Coturnix japonica: one gene and its partners. The main gene of each other region encodes a partner of the protein of the gene in region 2 in a complex. Links are inferred from orthologs where the notes say so. Each region holds a gene or a part of one and is shown on either strand. Other genes may lie near its edges.

Region 1 (5,804 bases), on a different chromosome or scaffold from region 2:
AAAGGACAGCCCTTCCTCTTTTGCAAGGGGTTCCCATGCTGACAGGGCTTACAAGTGACAGCACCACGGCAGACGCAACCCTTTCCTGTGATACTGTTCAACATCAACCCAGAGTAACCTTTAGGACAAATGTGGGACTAAAAGGAGCACAAAGCCTCACAGATTGGGACTAGAGGATCTAGACAAACATACAAGAAGGATCCTAAACAAATCCCACTTAAAAAAACATGGCTGGAAGTAGCACTGCTTAACTAGTTTTTGTGTGCAATCGTTGTCCCTTAATAAACACTAGCAGGCTTGAAGTTCCAGAAACACAAAAGCTGTAACAAAAAACACACTGGGATTGCTAGGATTCCAGTGGTAATTTTAATGGTATGTGCTGCATTTTTCCCCCTGCAATGCTGCCAGAGGTTCCCTTGATTGATCTGCTGCAGCTGAATCGTACCTCTAGGAGCTGGTCAACAATACACAGGGGTTAGATGGATGGGCACGTCGTGTACATTTGCTAAGTGCATTTCCAGGCTCCCGATGAGAGCTCCCATGCAGATGTGTTCCCAGTAAACAGGAAAAATACTGAAATAGCAAGGCACTGCTCAAACTTGTATGTGGTCAAAACCTGCTTCTATCTCCACTGCAAGATGTTTCCGACACCTCTTCAGAGAGGCTTCCAACACAATCACGGACATGGGGAAAGCCAAGTGTTCAATCCTCTGGAGGGCCTTTATCATCCCTTTGTTGTGTCAGTAACGCTCAGTGTTGCACTTAGTAAGATTGGCTTGAGGGGTTTTAAATGAAGCCAATCAAAGATTCATTAACAGGCAATACATTAAGGGAACACAACTACCAGCCACTCGGTGCCCTTTATCGGCTCTGCAGGTCCTGAACAGGCTGTGAGTACTATAAGGTCAGGGCAGTCCTTCAGGTTTTAGTGGGATAGGCCAAAAGAGCAAAAAATGAGCAATTATAGCAACTAAAAGAATAGATTTAGACAACTTCTACATTTCTCAAGTCATGCCATGCATGTAAAATCACACCTCTCACAGGGTGATTCGGGTACAGATTTTTATTATTATTATTGTTATTTGTTTTAAGAAGGTAGGCTGATCAACTCCAAATGGGATCCCTCATTTTGTCACCTCTGTGAGCAGCCAACTCCAATAGCTCTGACATCATTAAAACACAGACACGCCTGTGGCTGCACTGGGAGAGTGCAACGTCACAATCCTAGAGGCATTTACTGATGTTAGCCCCAGTTTTCTATCGGGTAAACATGACCATTTTGCAGATGTAGACCTGAGGCACAGTGAAAACGAAAGCAAGGGATTTACAAACACATAATGCCTACAGCATTTTTCCTGTTATTGGGATCTGGAAAGAGCCAGCGTGCGCAGCAATCCAGCTGGAGAAGCTATGCAAAGCTGCAGGAAGTCCAAAGCAGACTCAGATGCCACAAGGTTACTCTTCCTGCTTATTAGAGAGCACTTCAAGTCATGAAAACATGAGGGTTTTTTCCTGATCTTCCTTCAAAGAAATGTACCCTCCCTTCAAACCCTCCATTCGCTTTTTCAGATCATCCAAGAAATATCCAACAGTGGGAATGAATGGACCACAAAGCAATACCATGAGATGTACTATATCAGCTTCCTGTAACGTAAATAGCCTAATGATGCTGTGCTCCCATTAACGTCAACTATTATAAAGTCAACTACCACATTATTCACTCCGTATTTTCAATAACGGAAGAACAGGATAAATATAACTCCATTGTTCGTAAGGAATAAAAAAAAAAGCTCATCATCTAATGAACTATCTCGCAACAGCAGCAACAACACAGACAAGAAATAGGCAACACGAGGGGCAAGCAGCCAAAATTTCAAAGGCAAATCCAGCACGGCTCTCCCAGAAGCCCATGTTCTTCAGCAGCACTCAAGGATTTCAGAACTGGGATCACTGTTTCAAAGACTCGGCTCCTCCTTCCCAACTGTGGATTTATCCTGTAAGAGAGCTGGGCCAAAGCAGCCTTTTCTGTCTGCAGAATAACAGCAAGGCCTTATACTTTGCAAAAAACATAATCTAGAAATGTCCATTTAAATTGCATCTATCAACAGCTACATATATACATATACATAGTAATACATGGATATATATAGTACTACTCCTGAGGGGAGCTGGAATGCATTTAATTGGTACTGCTGCACTTAAAAAGATCAACTAGCATACTGCTTTTTTAAGTTCACTCTTAAAATACAAATGAAGCCAGTAGCACAGAGTGCTTTCCACAGCTGAAATATAGTTTAATTCTGCATAACAAATAGTCCTCAGCTCCACCAAGTCCATTTGCCAATAAATTCACGATCTACACGCCAGAAACAGAAAATAAAGAAGAAAATTGCCACACAACAAGCTCAGAGATCACTGCACCCTGTCCAGCTGAATGGAACAGCTGGATATAGTATTCAAAATACTGTTATGCTATCGAAATTATTTAGGAACTAAAGTAAAACATTGTGCCAGCTTTCCTCTAACAGCGTTTTCAACCCACAGTACCACAGGTTTTATCTTTTGTTTTGCAGATAACAAAAGAAAACTTAGATGTACAAGTGGGCCAATTAATTCATATTAGATCCACGGTGCTGAGCCTTCCAGAATGGATAAGCAGCTGAAACTCAAATTAACCACTCCAGAACACACCACTGGATTTTTAAACAGCCTAGAACACCCCTTTCTCCCCTAAGTAGGAAGTATTTTCTTTCAGCTCCTCAACTTTCCATCTTGGCAGGCGTTTTTATACCAAAGATCTTTTAACCAACCAAACTTTCACTGCTGATAATCGCAAGAAGCCAAACCCAAGGGAGCCACTTGTGAAAGCAGAACTTGTCTTAGTTTCGTTTCAAAACCTAAAAATAGGGTTTCGCAGTGGAAGAGGCTGGGTGTTCCACTTAGGGCTTCCACTCCGTCAGCATCACTCACACCTTTCAAATCTATCATCAGTTCCTTGCTGCCAAATAACCTCTTGGGATAACCATACAGGAGGGAACCTGCTCAAAAACCTCTTTTGGTTGTTTACAAACCCCAACATGCACAGAAGGAAAATGCAAGGATGAAGCCCCTACCTCCAGTTCCGTCTCCCTCCGATTGATTACATCTGTAGATTGATTCAGCTTTTCCAGCTCCCCCTGAAAAGAAAGGAAGAAAATGTTGAATGTGTATGAAGAAATCTGAGGGAAATGTTTCTGAGAACAACCGTTCAGCATCCCCACAGAAAGCTCACAAGGGCCGTGGGCTTATATATGTAATGAAAACAGGAAAACCTGAGACACTTGGAACAACTTTGCCACTGGTCTTCTATTCTGCAACCTAAAAGAAAAATAATCAGAGCAGCTCTACAGCTTTATTTTAAGGCAGTATGTTTCCTGTTCTGGCCTATTCCTCACAAGTAAAAATAAACGTCAAGTAGAGTCATTTCTGTTCCTGTTAAAGGTAGCCAGCATCTGCTACCTGGAACAGGCACCCCCAAATATATCAGCATCACATTAGTCCTATCACAGGAGATGCAACAGAAGGAATAGACAGCCAGCTCTGTGCTCTGGATTTTGGCAAGCCGCTCTATAACACAAGCAGTCAGTGGGACAGATGACAGTGTTTCTTAAGCCTGCCTTCCAGCCAACATTTTGATCTCTAACAGCAAAAGCAAAGGTGTTAAACCCTCTGAATAAATACGTACTAGAGGCAAAACTAGAGGAGCCCTCCCCCACTCGGCGGGGACTCCTCACGGCCAGCAGAGACGAAACGCGGACCCGGACCCAAAAATACACAGGCAGCAGGTCACGGCTTGGTTAAGGGGAGAGAAAAAATCGCCTGTATAAAACGCGACGGAATCCAAAGCCTTCCGAACGGCACCGACACAAGGGAAACGGCAGCTGCCATTACAGCTCCTTCCGAACAAGAATTAAAACACTACGCCATCTCCTCCCCCACCCCGTTCCCATCCCCGCATTTCGGGGTGCCGGCCCCGCTCCGCAGCCAAGGTCACGGCCGAGAGCAGCCGGGGAGGGGTCCGCACAGCGACAAAGCGCAGCCCCGGGCCGCTCGTGAAGAGAACCGTCCGTCTCCGTACGCGGGGAGGGATCGGCCGGAGGTCCCTCACCTGGATGCGGGGATCCACCTCCTCCTCCTCGGGCCGCGGGGCCTCCTCGGCGGCACGGCCGCGCCTGCCCCCCGGCTCCATGGCGGCTCCCGCCCGCCGCTGCCCGCTCGGCTCCGGCTGCCGCTCAGCGGCCACCTCGGCGCGGCCCCGCCTCCGGGGAAACCCCTCCCTGCCCGCGGCCCCCCCGGCCCTTTGTGCCTGGAGAAGGAAAAGAGGGTAAAATTTCCCCGCTCTTTCCTTCCCCTTTATTTTTTAGCCCCTTTTTTCTTCTGTTCTTTTGTCGTTCCTCCCTGCCCCGCCGGGCACGGCAGGCCCACGCACGTCCACTGCGCGGAGCCGAGGTGAGCGATTTCAGGTGCTGGGGAAAGCCAACCACACCTCACACTGCTCCTTTTGCCTCCTTTTCTGTCTCTTCTATTCCTACAGGCTCTGCTGGTGAGCTTGCAGCAAAGAAAAGGGAAGGAAAGTAGTATTCAAGCTCGTCCAAATAGCTTAAATCCTGAGAGATGGGATGCCACACAGACTGGTTTGAGCAGTGGGCACACGTGAACCCTATGAGGTTCAACAAGTCCAAGTCTTGCACCTGGGTTGTGGCAACCCACACTATCAATGCAAGCTGGGGAATGTAAGGATGGAGCACAGCCCTCCTAGATAGTACCTGGGGGTACTGGTGGATGGGAAGTTAGACATGAGCCAACGGTGTGCCCTCACAGCCCAGAAAGTCAACTGTATCCTGGACTGAATCAAAAGAAATGTGGACAGCAGGGTAAGGAAGGTGATCTGGCCCCACTGATCTGCACTGGTGAGGCCTCACGTGGTGTACAGTGTCCATATGTGGAGTCCTCAGTACAGGAGAGACATGGACCTGTTGGAGCACATCCACAGGAGGGCCACGAAGATGAGATCGAACACCTCCCCTGCGAGGACAGGCTGAGAGAGATGGGACTGTTCAGCCTGGAGAAGAGAAGACTGTGGGGAGACCTGAGAGTGGCCATTTGGTATCTAAAGGGGCCTGTAAGAAGGCAGGGGACAGGCTCTTTAATACAGTCTGTTGTGATAGGACAAAAGGGAAATGGTTTCAAACTAAAAGAGTGGAGATTTAGATTGGATGTAAGGAAGTTTTTCACAATAAGGGTGTTGAGGCACTGGTACAGGTTGTCCAGAGAGGTGGTAGATATACCATCCCTGATGACACTCAAGGTCAGGCTGTACAGGGCTCTGAGCTCCTGATACAGCTGTAGGTAACTGCTCATTGCAGATGACCTCCAAGGGTCCCTTTCCAGCTCAATGATTCTTTGATTCTGTGTACTATGAAAGAAACTGGAAAAATCAAAACAATGTGGGAAGAAAGAAAATGGCACAAACATTTGAACAGTGTATAAACATGCAAAGTTATACCATCAATCCAAACTAATCAAGGAACAGAGGTGTTGCAAAACGCAGATGGGCTGTTCACATCTTCATTTCTCACAGCAAGAGAAACTGTGTAAAGAAAAAGAAAACATCACCACACAAAAGTGGTTTGTTCCTGTTGATTGCCATTAAGGGAATTCAATGTGTGCAAACAATACAGAGCTCCAGAGTCTCCAGGTCTCTCATGTGGCTCATGTGTTTCAACATCCAAAGCTCTGGTCATCCTAAAAACCACAAAGCAGCT
Region 2 (6,460 bases):
ATGATGGAAGATTTTCTTAGGGAGCTGGTAGATCGTCAGTGCTAACCTTGGTGTTTCAAAGGAGGGACTTCCTCTACAAGCGCCAGTGAAAAGGCCCACGTGTGGGACCTGTGATTTCATTGTGCTAAGACGCAGCATCAGCTGTTGGTGAACAAAAGCTGCTCTCCGATGAATTGGAAAAGGCATCAGTGTTACTAATTGACTCAGTGCAATGAATTCCCATATTTGAGTCTTGAGGTAGTTGGGTACCTTCTGTTTGATGGAAGGCTAGGGAAGAACAGAAGTTGAGATCCCAGTATCTCAGAGTAAACACCACTGTACAAAGGATTATTGGGATTGTTTCCTCTTCCTCCATAGTGGAGGACGCAGCTGTTGTGTTACATGGTGGACTGGGAATGGATTGTTCCCAAGGGCTTGCAAAGGCGTTGCAGATTTTAAGTTGGTACTTTTGTATCTCCTGCCTTGCCTGAGAAAGAAAAATTCAGAAAAAGTGAACAAACAGAGCAGAAGGTGAAGATTGGATGTAAGCAAGGTGTTTTTTGCACAAAGGGTGGTGACACAATGGCACACTTGACCAGAAAGGTGGTGGATGCCCTGTCCTTGGAGATGCTCAAGGTCAGGTTGGATGGGGCTCTGAGCAACCTGATCTAATTGCAGATGTTCCTGTTTATTACAGACGAGTTGAGCTAGATGACCTTTAAGGGTCCCTTCCAACTCAAGCGATTCTATGGTTCTGTGACTGTCCTTTTTAAAGACGTTGGGTGATGAATTAGTGTGAATTAGCTCAGACATTTGTCTGCTGAGATGTTTTCAATGAATGTCCTTGAATGATGGATGCAGAACAGTTCGTTATTGAAAGATCTTGTTTTTAAACTCCTTGGACTTTGTGTTTCCATGAAGTATAATGCTTTATGAATGGAATAAGGATATTTTTGTCTTTGTTTTTATGGTGTCCCATTGTGATCAACCCAAAAGAGAGCAAAAGCCACAAATCCACTATAATGTCTCACATTTCTTACTATCGCTGTTAATCAACTGTTCCTCTTTGGGTACATATTGGTGTGCTCCTGATGTAGGAGTAGTATAACTGGGAACTACAGAGTGGAGAAGGAGAAGACATTTCAAGATGGACATTGCCAACTTTTTTTTAGTATGCTTGTAAATTTTTGTTGGCTTTGTAACTCAGCTTCCAATACTGCTGTGCTTTCTGCTCTGTACGCAGTCAGTAGGGTAACGTGAGTGAAAATCTACAATACACAGGGATTCATAGGAAAAAAATATGGGATTTTGAAGAGTTGCTCTGGTGCTTCATGTTGTCATTGCTGGAACATCAAGAAGTGATTTGGTGGAGTTACCCTGTAGGAAATACACTCCTGTTTTTCTTGCTGTAGCAAAAGCCTGTAGCAAACCTTTCCACATTGATGGAAAAGAGAGTAATCAGGAATGGGGCCTGAGGACTGATTTAGTCTGAGAGTATTTCTAATATGCATTTATGAAATGCAGAAGCTGGAATTTGTGTCATCATATTTGAGCGACCAAAATAAGTGGTTCAAACTCCTAAGAGGTGAAAATTATCAAAATATGTGAAAGTTGTGCAAAATGTTTTAAAACTAAAAAGGAGAATTTGAGAAGCCCATATTTAAGACCACTTTGCAAACCCGAGTCTGTATTTCTTCATGCATTCAATTTTTTAAACTAAGCATACATAACAATTTGTTTTCCTTATGAAAAGGAAACGAGAAAGAAATTTTGAGAAATAGTCCTGCTTCCAGGCATGTAATTGGACCTGGATGATATGGTCTAAAGGAATGATTAAATAATTTGATTCCATTAGAAAATGTGATAAGGAAAAGGCTAAATTAATTCTAATTGAAAGTGGGGAATTGTTCATTGAGATACTTGGTGAACGTGTCCTTAATCATGATAGGAATTGCAGAAGCCTCTCTGTTGTACCTGCTACACCAAGCTGCTTTGTGAAACTATTCGTCTCCACCAGTTCTCATTGTGCTTTTATTTAATCTTTTATTTCTACCCCTTGAAAATAAGTGTTAGATTCCTATGAAACTGGATGTCAGAAGTAGTGGTGCATGCTCTTCCCTGCTGATGTGGTACGTGGTTCCTTTCACTTGCTTCTTTCTTCTCACTAGACAATCTCTCCTTGTCCCAGCATTTTTCTCAAGGAGAGGAAAAAATGGAAATAGCAGTCTTGAGGCTCAGGAATTTGCCATAGGAAAAGAAGGAGCTCCTCTAACATGTATGTCCCCTGTGTTTGTCATGATTGCAGCGCTGCATACGATGCCATCCTTGAGCGAAACGTTGCAATCAAGAAACTAAGCCGACCATTTCAGAATCAAACCCACGCCAAACGTGCTTACAGAGAGCTGGTCCTCATGAAGTGTGTGAATCACAAAAATGTAAGTCTTATGCATGGAGTCAGACTGCTGTTTTGGTTTGATCAGAAGAAAACTCTTCTTTTGGGGGTCTTTTTTAATTTAAAAATCGGAAAAAGAGAGAGAGAGAGAGATTTGAAAAGTAAACTGATCAAGGGCTGCTTTTTCTCTGATGATGTGTGGCCACATAGGTGAATGGGTTTCTTTCATGTACATCTGTGAAGGCTGTGCCAAATGGGAGCCCTGATAGGATAGCAGGGATGATGGAAGGAGAGAGAGCAGAGCATGTTTTTCTCTACTGTTTCTCTGTAAATAGGGAAGTGGTGGTTTTGTGGAGGCATTTTATTCTAAATATTACTGACTTCTTCCTGAGCCATAAAGTGTTGGTATTAATTGAGCAGTGAAAAATAGAGTTTATCTTTCAATGCATGCTTCAGAATGAGTTTGACTGCTTCGCCTTTATCGCTTCTATTCCTCCTTTTGTTTTGCTCTGTTTTTCAGATTATCAGTTTATTAAATGTCTTCACACCACAGAAATCTCTAGAAGAGTTCCAGGATGTGTAAGTAATACAGGAAATAATTAAACCAAAGCTTTTGAGATGGTGTTTTAGTGTACCGTTAATGCAATAACTCAGCAGAACACAGAGGTGATGAGCCACCCTGAAAAATGTCCATGTGTAGTCTGCACTGTGATCAGACAGCTATGTGCATGCCTGTGTTCAAAGCATCTATAAGGTGCCAATACTGGGTTTCTGAAGTGCTGCAAGTGTGCAGCAATTTGCTCTGAAGTAATTTCCTGTAAGAGTGACAGAAACATCCTTTATGTTTGCTCTGTAATAACCTGGCTGTCTTTAATTGCTTGCCTGGTTGACTCATACTCAATGCAGAGGACAACTGCATCTCTGCTGGGCATTGTACAGATGCACAAGCACTGCTGTGCAGATTATGGAGCTGCACCAAATGGAACTACAAATAGTGTTGTGTAGTAATATTCCTTTTAGCTTTCAGTCCTCCCCATATCTTGTAAGTGTGGTATTGAAATGTATTCCTCTTCTGTAATTGGATATCAGCTGGTGATAAGAGACAAATAGTTGTTGGAGTTGGGTGAGGATGGTTTTAGTATTAACATATGAATATTATGCATCATATTGTTCCTGCAGACATATGTAGAGCACAGGAAGTAACCAGTGCTGGAGAGAAGATGAAGCATGCATCTCACATAGAAACTGAAAACCGATTTCTCACCAAAATTTGCTGTTGTGTTACAATTAGGATGTAATTAAGTGGTACACGGAAGTTGAGCAATTTGTGATCACATAAGCTGAGCTTCTGAGATGTCTGCTAAGAAATGTGCCAATGTGTTCAACCTATTAACTTCCTTGCGAAGGGGACTGAGTGCAGGTTTTGCTGAGGTTGTCAGTGAAGCTTATTTACCAGAAGCTCAGGACCAATTATTGAGTTAGGCTGTGCAGTCTTAGGACTGGAGCCATTTCATGTGCAGACACATTTTGGAGCTGCTTAGACTTCACTCAGGTTCCTGCATGTGCTGTGGGAGCCATTACTGAAGGCCAAGTGGCTGTGGCATGGGACACTTGTGACTTTTCTGACATTGTTAGTTGCTGGAGGCAATGCTCAACACAGCTGATAACCTTCCTGGCTTTGCTGTTCCATTTAGTTATCTGGTGATGGAGCTGATGGATGCCAACCTGTGCCAGGTGATTCAGATGGAGCTAGACCATGAGCGAATGTCCTACCTGCTGTATCAAATGCTCTGTGGCATCAAGCACCTGCACTCTGCGGGAATTATTCACAGGGTAAGGAAACTCCAGTTTGGAACTCAGAGTGGCAAATGCCATCCTTGTGGAAACCAGTTGAGTTTCTTGTGTGCTGCGGATCTAAGCCCTACCTCCAGAAAAATCACAGTGCATTTACTAATCACAGCCCATTCCATTCACTGAGTTGCCTCATGTTTGTTTTAGAACTGTTCTTAGGTAATGTGCTTATTAAAAATAATGATAATAATCACCAATATGCACTGGAAATCACCAAAGTGATTATGATCTCTGAAATGTCTACAGAAATGTTATTGCTCCTTAAAACACTGCTACGAGTGTGGGAGGTAACACTGTGATCCCTAACAACAGAAGAAAACAGTTTGTGTGACTGTGAGCATGTGAGGCAGTGCTGAATGGATTAAAAACACCCCTATTCTTTGTTACAGTGGTCTTGTACTAATTTTGTATTTTTAGCTGAAATATATATATACATGCATATGTCCTTTCTTTATGAAATTGTTCACAAGAGGGATGTTGCCTTACAGTAAGCAAAGGCTTTATTTCTTGCTGTGTTGTATGTACATAGGAGGATGTGGATCTGGTTTCAAGATAATTTCTGAGAAAGGATGAGTTGATTTCTTATTAAAACAAATGAAGCAGTAAACCATCTCCACGTAAGACAGTTGGAATATCTCTGTGAGGCTGACAGCATTAAAAAAAATCCCACAAAATAGTACTTTAATACTCATCTGAACTTCTCAAACAGCCCAATGAAATTATTTCACACCAGTAAGCTCCCACCATCTGAGTACAGCCCCAGGGTACACCCAGTGGGCAACACTTTTTGCAAGATATTGCAGAGAAACAGGTGCAAAGTTTTTGCCAGTGATTTCTGATTGAAACCATCAGTGAAGGAGTGCAAGAGTATTTGAATGTGCCTTGAAAAATTAATGTCCATCACTGCCGTGGCTATGGCTTTGTGCACTCCTTTCACTCTTTTGCAATCTTTTGCAGGATTTGAAACCAAGTAACATTGTGGTAAAATCTGACTGCACGCTGAAGATTTTGGATTTTGGGCTGGCCAGAACTGCAGGCACCAGCTTCATGATGACGCCTTATGTAGTGACTCGTTACTACAGAGCACCAGAGGTCATCCTGGGAATGGGCTACAAGGAGAACGGTAGGGCTGCATGTCGGAGCACACAGGTGTGAGGTGGATCTGTGGCTGTAGGGGCATCAGGAGGAGAAACAGAAAATGTATCAGGAAAAGACATCATGAATATAAAAGGCAGGTGATGGGGAGGAGGTTCTCATTCTTGGGTGCTGCAGGCACCTACTCTTGTTGGGGTGTTAATAGGGGATGAAGTTATCAGTGTGGTATTGCAGAATAATGGGAGATCGTTCTTAGTTATTAGTGAGCAAATCAAACTCAGACTAAGAAGGGAAGGAAGGGATAAAGCACGCAGTGGAGAAAAGTGCACGGTCTCAGGTTCTGTCCTCAGGAGCTGCCACTCGTCTTTTTGACAAAGAGATTAATCAATGACAGAGGTCATTAATTCTTTGTAATGGTTGTGAGTTCACAGTGCAGATTTTAATGGGAAAATCAAGAAAGTAGGCAGTTACTGAGTAGATTCTAACAGTGCAGAATAATATTTATTGAGAGCAATGTTTCTTGAAGGACTTTGATGTGTGTTGTTATCGACTTGACCTGAGCTCGGCATCTTTTACAGCTCCTTACGCCAAATACCCACTTGTTTTTTCTTTCAAAACATGTAGTAAATAAATCTTCATTGTTATAATTGTCCCTGAGAGGACAGAAAATGCACTCAGTTCTCAAATAAGAAAATCTTAGGGACACTTTAGTGATGAAGTGTACAGCTGGGAAAGTTCCAAGAGTTGTTGCCATATCTCCCAGGGAAGGAACAGAAGGGCTGCTCTTTGCTCCCTGCTCCTGTGCTGCCACATTACTGAAGCTCCCCTCCTTTTTTCCCCTTACTATGCCCATTGCCTGTGTAAGGACTATTCACTGCTTTCATTTTCTTTCTGCACTGGGTTGGCTAAAGATATACCATTAACACTGGTTTGCTGTGCTTCCCGGGGAAGCTCCCAAAGCCATCACTGTGAAGAAAACTGCTGCAGCCTCAGGCATGCTCCTGCTGTCCTGTGCCCCATACCCTGTACCCTCCTTGTCCCAGATGGAACGTTTCACCTTGATTTTATTTGACCAAGAAATGAGTTGTTTGTTTCTTTGGTTTGTTATGGATAGAATGTGGGTTCAGATCCTCAAGCAGCAGT
Region 3 (5,803 bases), on a different chromosome or scaffold from region 2:
TGCCCCTTTTTACTGCACAATCAACTCTGACTGTATATAGTTATTAACTCTTAGTAACCTTTAGTGTAGATCTCATCATAGTACGTAACTGCTTTCAACATTAGGGTTTTAAGATCTCACTTTAAAGCACCTGTAAAAGAAAAGTGAAGCGTAAAAGGGCAAGGGCAAAAATTTTCTTTGATTCACAAGTTCTACTTGAGGCGTGTAACTTCTTCATCTCTTTGTTTGCATTTAAAATCAAGTGGACTGAAGACTGAGCATACCTGCACGTTAAAGAATGACGTTCTCTTAACAGGTACTTGAAGAGCAGAATTTAATTTAACAAAAATTTTAGTAGAGCTGCTTCTTTACATTAAAAAATAAATTAAAAAATAGCTGGTTTTGTTTTCCAAACTTAACCACTCCAAAATTAAAAGAGCTGGCTCTCATGCAACCAAGCAAGTCAATGTGAAACAAAACAAACCAAGGGTACCTCTTATATTTTCAATACTTGATAGCAGCACTGAATTGCATACACTTTAATCATTTCCTGTATTTAATACTAAGTCCTACAGTTCACTACAGGGGCAATCAGACTTGCAAATTCCGCTTTCAGGAGAAACCAGAAGTTTGTGTGTGCAATTTAGCAGTTAGTAAAACAGTAAAATAAAGTCAACATTTGGATTTTAGAATACAAGCCATCACTTCACTTACCTAGAAGGACTGGAACAACTTCTTATTTTTTCTTTTCAGTTTCCTGTATGCAAAAACAAAGAAAAGTGAAGCAGAAGTGGTGTAATTAATATTCACTATTACAGACCGCTTTCAGAAGTGTTCTGACTGCATTTCTGTCATGTCACCACAGAATTTAACATTCCTAAAGAACTGAAAGTGAAAAATGAACAGACTGAAGGAGGAAAAATATGGAAAAATATAAACGTTCCTCCTTAAAAAAGATGTAGAATCACTAGCAAGTAGATTCTGGAAGATAACTATAGGCTGTTTAAAGGATGCAAACCTCAAGAACTGGTCAATAGGAAAACAGGAGCTTCTTCTTCAAAACTGTCACTCTACTGCTTAGAAGAGCAGTTGTTCCACTTCCTCGAAGTCACGCGGTCTCTCTCAGTGTTCTGGGGAGGCAGAAGGCAATGCCTGTTGCATCAAGCTTTCTTCTTTCAAAAGCAGGCCTAATGTTGATGCTGTCAGTGACCTGTCTGTAACTGACGTCTAAGTCAAATAGAGGAAGGTACGGAACTCAATTCAAATAACTAAGAGGGATCTCATCTGGATAAGAGGAAAAATGTGTGAGAAGTGAAGACGATTGACTTAACAATTTCAAATGAGAACAAGAAATCTACTGGCCAGATAGTCACGTGCACAGAAACAAACCAATGAAGTCACTTTGGTTCTGCAGTAGGAGCAAGCTTTTCACATAAGAAGGGACAATTCTGGTAAACCAGGAGCACTGATGGAATAAAAGAAATGTTCCTAGACCCAACAGTTCCAGCTGACTGAATCTGACAGCTCGAATGTCAGCTCCCTGGCTTGGATATTTCTCAGAGGGGCTTGGATTAGTGGAAGCTTATGCAGTGTGAATGCAGCTCTTACAGCAGACAAGTAGAAAGCCAGGGAATCTCAGAGAGCAAATACACAGGATTTCATATTCCTGAGATCTCTCTGTGACTTGTTTAGCAAGATATTAGCTTTTACGCCTTCACCAGCTCAATTACCTAAGTTTGAAAGTTTTATTACTGTCCATCAACCTCAGAGACATTGTAAATCTAGTCTTCTGCAACTTTATTTTCAGCAAATTAAAAATATCTTAAAATTAAAATTAAAAATATCTTAACAAAGGTACTTCATTTTTACAGATCGCATCCTTTGAGTACGTAACTCCATACAATAACCAAGGGTTTGATTTAAAATTCTTAAATATACCAAGGAGTGTGCTACTGAAGCACTCTCAAAGCTCATTAAAACAGAGTGATGTATTTTTTTCCTATAAGCAACAAGGTAAATGGCCACTGGCATTTACCCAGAAATAGAAACACACTGTATTGTTCCCACTAACTTACAAAAGAAAAACTCCAGTCTGAAGTAGAGCTAATAGGAAAGTTCTGAGGTTGAGCTCCTGCTAAGCAGCTACTGACACAAAAATCAATCAGATACAGTATGGCACCAACTTGAAACAAAAATATGAGCATAGTTAAAAAGTATCGACTCATATTTCTACCCCCAGATATATTCAGTGTCTCAGAGTGTACCCTATTGATTTGAAACAAATATACTTAAGTTATGCAGGAGGATACGATAACTTGAAGTCTATTCATTATTACAGAGAGAAGTTAATGCAGCTGAATCATGTTTACTCCTCTAAAACCAGTCTTAAAAAAAAGTTTAACAACAGTTAAATAAAACAGTAAAAGAGGCTTTTAAAAAATTTTAAAAGATAAATGGTGGGGGGAAGAGAAAGAATAGCTGATGAAAGGCATTTTAGGCAGAAGATGGACCCTAATTAATAAGATTAAAAGAACACCATATTTCAGGCTGCTCAATGCTGTCACAGAACCACTAGAGAAGTAGCATGAAAACAAAAATTATTCATAAAGTTATGCAAGATTAACTCAGGACCTGAAAGAACCTTATGTTACACACTGCACAGCTAAGAATCTTCTAGAAAAAGATGTACCAAAAATGTCTGTATTTCTAGAATTGAAGTCAGGATGGAAACATGACTATACAATGAGAAAGATCAAAGACCCAACCAGCTGACTGGGTGTAGGCATGTGCTATCAAGTGTAAAACAAACACACCACCAAGTTCTTTTGTAAGCAGCTTCACCCCATGTTTTTTTGGATGCACTACAAAAAGCAGTTTACGACATTTGTTTTTTTCAATAAGGCTTCAATAAGGGCTTAAAAGAGAACCCAAGTGACTGCCACACTTCACCAGTTCATGCCTCTGAAGTGATGTCTGTAACCAGACTTCCATTAACATCAGCAACTGATGTTTCATTAGCCAACTGAAGACACGTCTACCACAGTGGAAACCAAGGACCATAAAGTTTTTGTAATCCTATAAATCAAAGTTGAACAGAGCATCTAATGCAGGCACAGCAGTCACACAGTGTTAACTTCAGGCACACCTGCTTTTCTCCTTTTTTTCTTTGTAATCAGCTCTATGTGCCTTTACACTCAGCAAGAGCTTGAGAAGAGATTCCCAGCTCTGAGTACAGTGTGACAAGATGACGACAAACACATTCTAAAAGGCAGGAGAGAAAACTGCAGGAGAAAATTCACTTTGCATTAGCTGTTTGCAAAGCAGCGGATGACTCACAATTTCCAGCTGTAGTAGCCTTATATCCTACTATGAAGCAGGTGACTGCATCTTTATTTGAAGGGAAAGGTCATTTCTGGAAGAAACTAGCAAGGAAAAGCAAACAAGTGACATAGGAATGGGTGAGACATAGAAACGCACTGATGGAACCCCCTCCAAACAGAGGGGTGTAGGAAGGCTGCAGCACGAACAAAGCTGCAGCAGCACAACAGCACCTGTACCTCAAACCCACAATCACACAGCACCGAGGGCATGAAATATCCGTGCCTGAAACACCGTGCAATCATCAGCGCCTGAAGGCCCGCGCTGCGCTGCTTGCTTTTAATCCTCTGACAGCTTCGGAGATGTTTCATTAGCACAACCCTGAAGGCACAGGCCGCGGCCCTGCCTGCACAAGAGGCGCTCGCTTCCTCCTCCTCCCCCCCCATACCGCTAAGCCCGAGCGCTGGGCGCAGCCCGAGGGCCTCCGGAGCCACGGATGGACGCGGAGAGGCCTCCTTGGGGCCGGGGCTCAGGCCGAGCCCGGGGCAGCCACCGGAGGCGAGAGAAAAGCCGACGCATCCTCCGCCCCGCCGCCCCCATCCGATCGGCCCGTACCTGCGGCGGCTCCGGCGTCCTCCTGCCCGGCTCTAGGGGCGGCGGGAGCCGCAGGCCGCGGTGGGGGAGGGGGCTGCGGCGGCGCGGAGCCGCGGCGCCATATTACCGCCTCCCGGGAACCCCCGCCTACCCCTCGGCGGGGCCGCTCCCTCCCCTCCGCCCTCGGGGCGCTCCCCGCGGCCCGGAGCCGGGCGCAGCGCGGAGGGCGGAGCCGGCACCTGGCCCGGCAGAGCCGCGCTCCTGTTTACAAACTCACCCGGGAACGCGGGCCGCGCCAAACACGAACGGCCGGGTCCCCCACAGGCTTCCGTCACATCTCGCGAGAACAACGCCGACATCTCCGCGGGACCGGTGGAACGCAGGTCACGTGGCGCAGGGGGGCGGGGACGGCGCCCATTGGGCGATGCCGGCGGGGCGGCTGCGGCTCGTCGTGAGGACGGGAGAGGCCGGGCCGGGTGTGGGGGCGGTACAACACGGGATGGATGATCCGGGCTACGTCCGACGGGACACGGCACGGACACGAATCTTTGGTCCAGCACGGAGCAGGAACAGAGACAGGGAGTCTGTGCGCCCCGGGATCATTCAGGTGTGAACACCCACCTATCATTCAATGTTTCAAAACCCACTTATCAATCATCATTCACCTTATTGTCAATGAGGACATTATTGCCAATGAGGTAGCGAACTCCCTGCGTGCAGGTTTGTTTCTGTGCTTTAGAAGCCCGTGATGTGTCCAACAGTGAGATCCAATTCATCCATACGTGGCATTACTTAACAGCAATTCTGGACTGCGTTCAGCAGTTCTTGAAAAGATGGCTATTTCCATTGAAGAACATACAGAGCAAGTAGCTTCATGCTACGTTCGAGTTAAGCTGAATGAATACCCACGTAGTATTGAAACTCAAAGCGAAGAGTTTACCTGCAGATCACACACATCAGAGCCACCAACCAGTTTCTTCACATACCCGAGGACGGGCTACTTACAGCTCATAGCTCCCTGGATTTAATTCCGTAACAGCAGGAAAGCAAAGCTCATAAACCTGTTTGCTTTCTTCCAAAGGTCAGTTTGTCGTTGTTGAATGATTAGATCTATTATTTAATATTCAAAGCCACCCAACCAATTAGTGCACAGCATTACACAGTACATTGCTGTAAGCGCAGACAGCACCTTAAATGTATTAAGGTTGTTAAAAGATAGAAACCATGAGATGCAAAGCTTGAAGTGCAGCATTTTGTCACTCTTGGATCCTACTGTTTTCCAAACATCAGGTTAATGACAAATCTTTACTATATCAAAAAGCTGGACATTCTCCCATGCCAAGAACACTGTAATTAAGTAAGAGTATAATGTCTATGTGCCATTGGCTTCGGACCAATCTCAACCAGTAGTTAAGTTCAACCTGGAGAACCAAGCAGAAAACTTCTACTAGGATGATCAAAATTAGTAGTGGGACTGATGCAAACAGCTTCCTTATCACTGCTGGAGAATTGTTAAGCTTATTGTACCGTGAGATGCCAAAACTCTGTGTGCCAGCTAATCTAGTGGGGAGGACAACACAAAACTGTGCAGAGAAACAGCTCTGGATAAATGTGAAATAGGTAAAGGAACAAGGCCAGAAGTACAACTTCTCACACTTGGTCAGTGCATCCTTTGATTTTCCTAGGATTAATCATACTGATTTTATCAAGCAAGTGACACTGCCACAAATATTATATGCTTGACTTGAAGTTATTGTTTAAAGGGTCCTACATATACGTCATTACCACAAAATAAAGTCATAACTTTATAAGAAAGATAAAAAATGCAAGGAACAGGATGACAGTTAAAGTTGTTTATCTTTAATGAAATGACTTTGGAAATAGCATCAATTTCCATGACACCAACATTTTG

What was found.
Region 1: the proteins of MAPK10 (region 2) and SH3BP5 are in contact, whole or in part, in a crystal structure (PDB 4H3B), measured with the Homo sapiens proteins. The link is inferred for Coturnix japonica from reciprocal best matches to the Homo sapiens genes MAPK10 and SH3BP5. Residues at the interface, in NP_620448.1 of Homo sapiens: Lys121, Asp150, Ala151, Gln155, Val156, Met159, Leu161, Glu164, Arg165, Tyr168, Tyr171, Val197, Lys198, Ser199, Asp200, Cys201, Trp362, Asp364, Glu367; in NP_004835.2 of Homo sapiens: Val341, Val342, Arg343, Pro344, Gly345, Ser346, Leu347, Asp348, Leu349, Pro350.
Region 3: the proteins of MAPK10 (region 2) and ATF2 are in contact, whole or in part, in a crystal structure (PDB 4H36), measured with the Homo sapiens proteins. The link is inferred for Coturnix japonica from reciprocal best matches to the Homo sapiens genes MAPK10 and ATF2. Residues at the interface, in NP_620448.1 of Homo sapiens: Asp150, Ala151, Gln155, Met159, Glu164, Arg165, Tyr168, Val197, Lys198, Ser199, Asp200, Cys201, Trp362, Glu367; in NP_001243019.1 of Homo sapiens: Lys48, His49, Met51, Thr52, Leu53, Lys54, Phe55.

The regions. Positions count from the first base shown.
Region 1 is NC_029517.1:38,153,596-38,159,399, reverse strand, and holds the start of SH3BP5 (SH3 domain-binding protein 5), read right to left. Parts: upstream 4,283-5,804; 5' UTR 4,229-4,282; coding exon 4,148-4,228; intron 3,177-4,147; coding exon 3,114-3,176; intron 1-3,113. UniProt on the Homo sapiens protein: Functions as a guanine nucleotide exchange factor (GEF) with specificity for RAB11A and RAB25. Inhibits the auto- and transphosphorylation activity of BTK. Plays a negative regulatory role in BTK-related cytoplasmic signaling in B-cells.
Region 2 is NC_029519.1:40,899,719-40,906,178, reverse strand, and holds part of MAPK10 (mitogen-activated protein kinase 10), read left to right. Parts: intron 1-2,284; coding exon 2,285-2,414; intron 2,415-2,891; coding exon 2,892-2,950; intron 2,951-4,065; coding exon 4,066-4,204; intron 4,205-5,179; coding exon 5,180-5,345; intron 5,346-6,460. UniProt on the Homo sapiens protein: Serine/threonine-protein kinase involved in various processes such as neuronal proliferation, differentiation, migration and programmed cell death.
Region 3 is NC_029522.1:14,845,660-14,851,462, reverse strand, and holds the start of ATF2 (cyclic AMP-dependent transcription factor ATF-2), read right to left. Parts: upstream 4,283-5,803; 5' UTR 4,169-4,282; intron 4,028-4,168; exon of another isoform or gene 3,913-4,027; intron 1,110-3,912; exon of another isoform or gene 998-1,109; intron 737-997; 5' UTR 694-736; intron 1-693. UniProt on the Homo sapiens protein: Transcriptional activator which regulates the transcription of various genes, including those involved in anti-apoptosis, cell growth, and DNA damage response.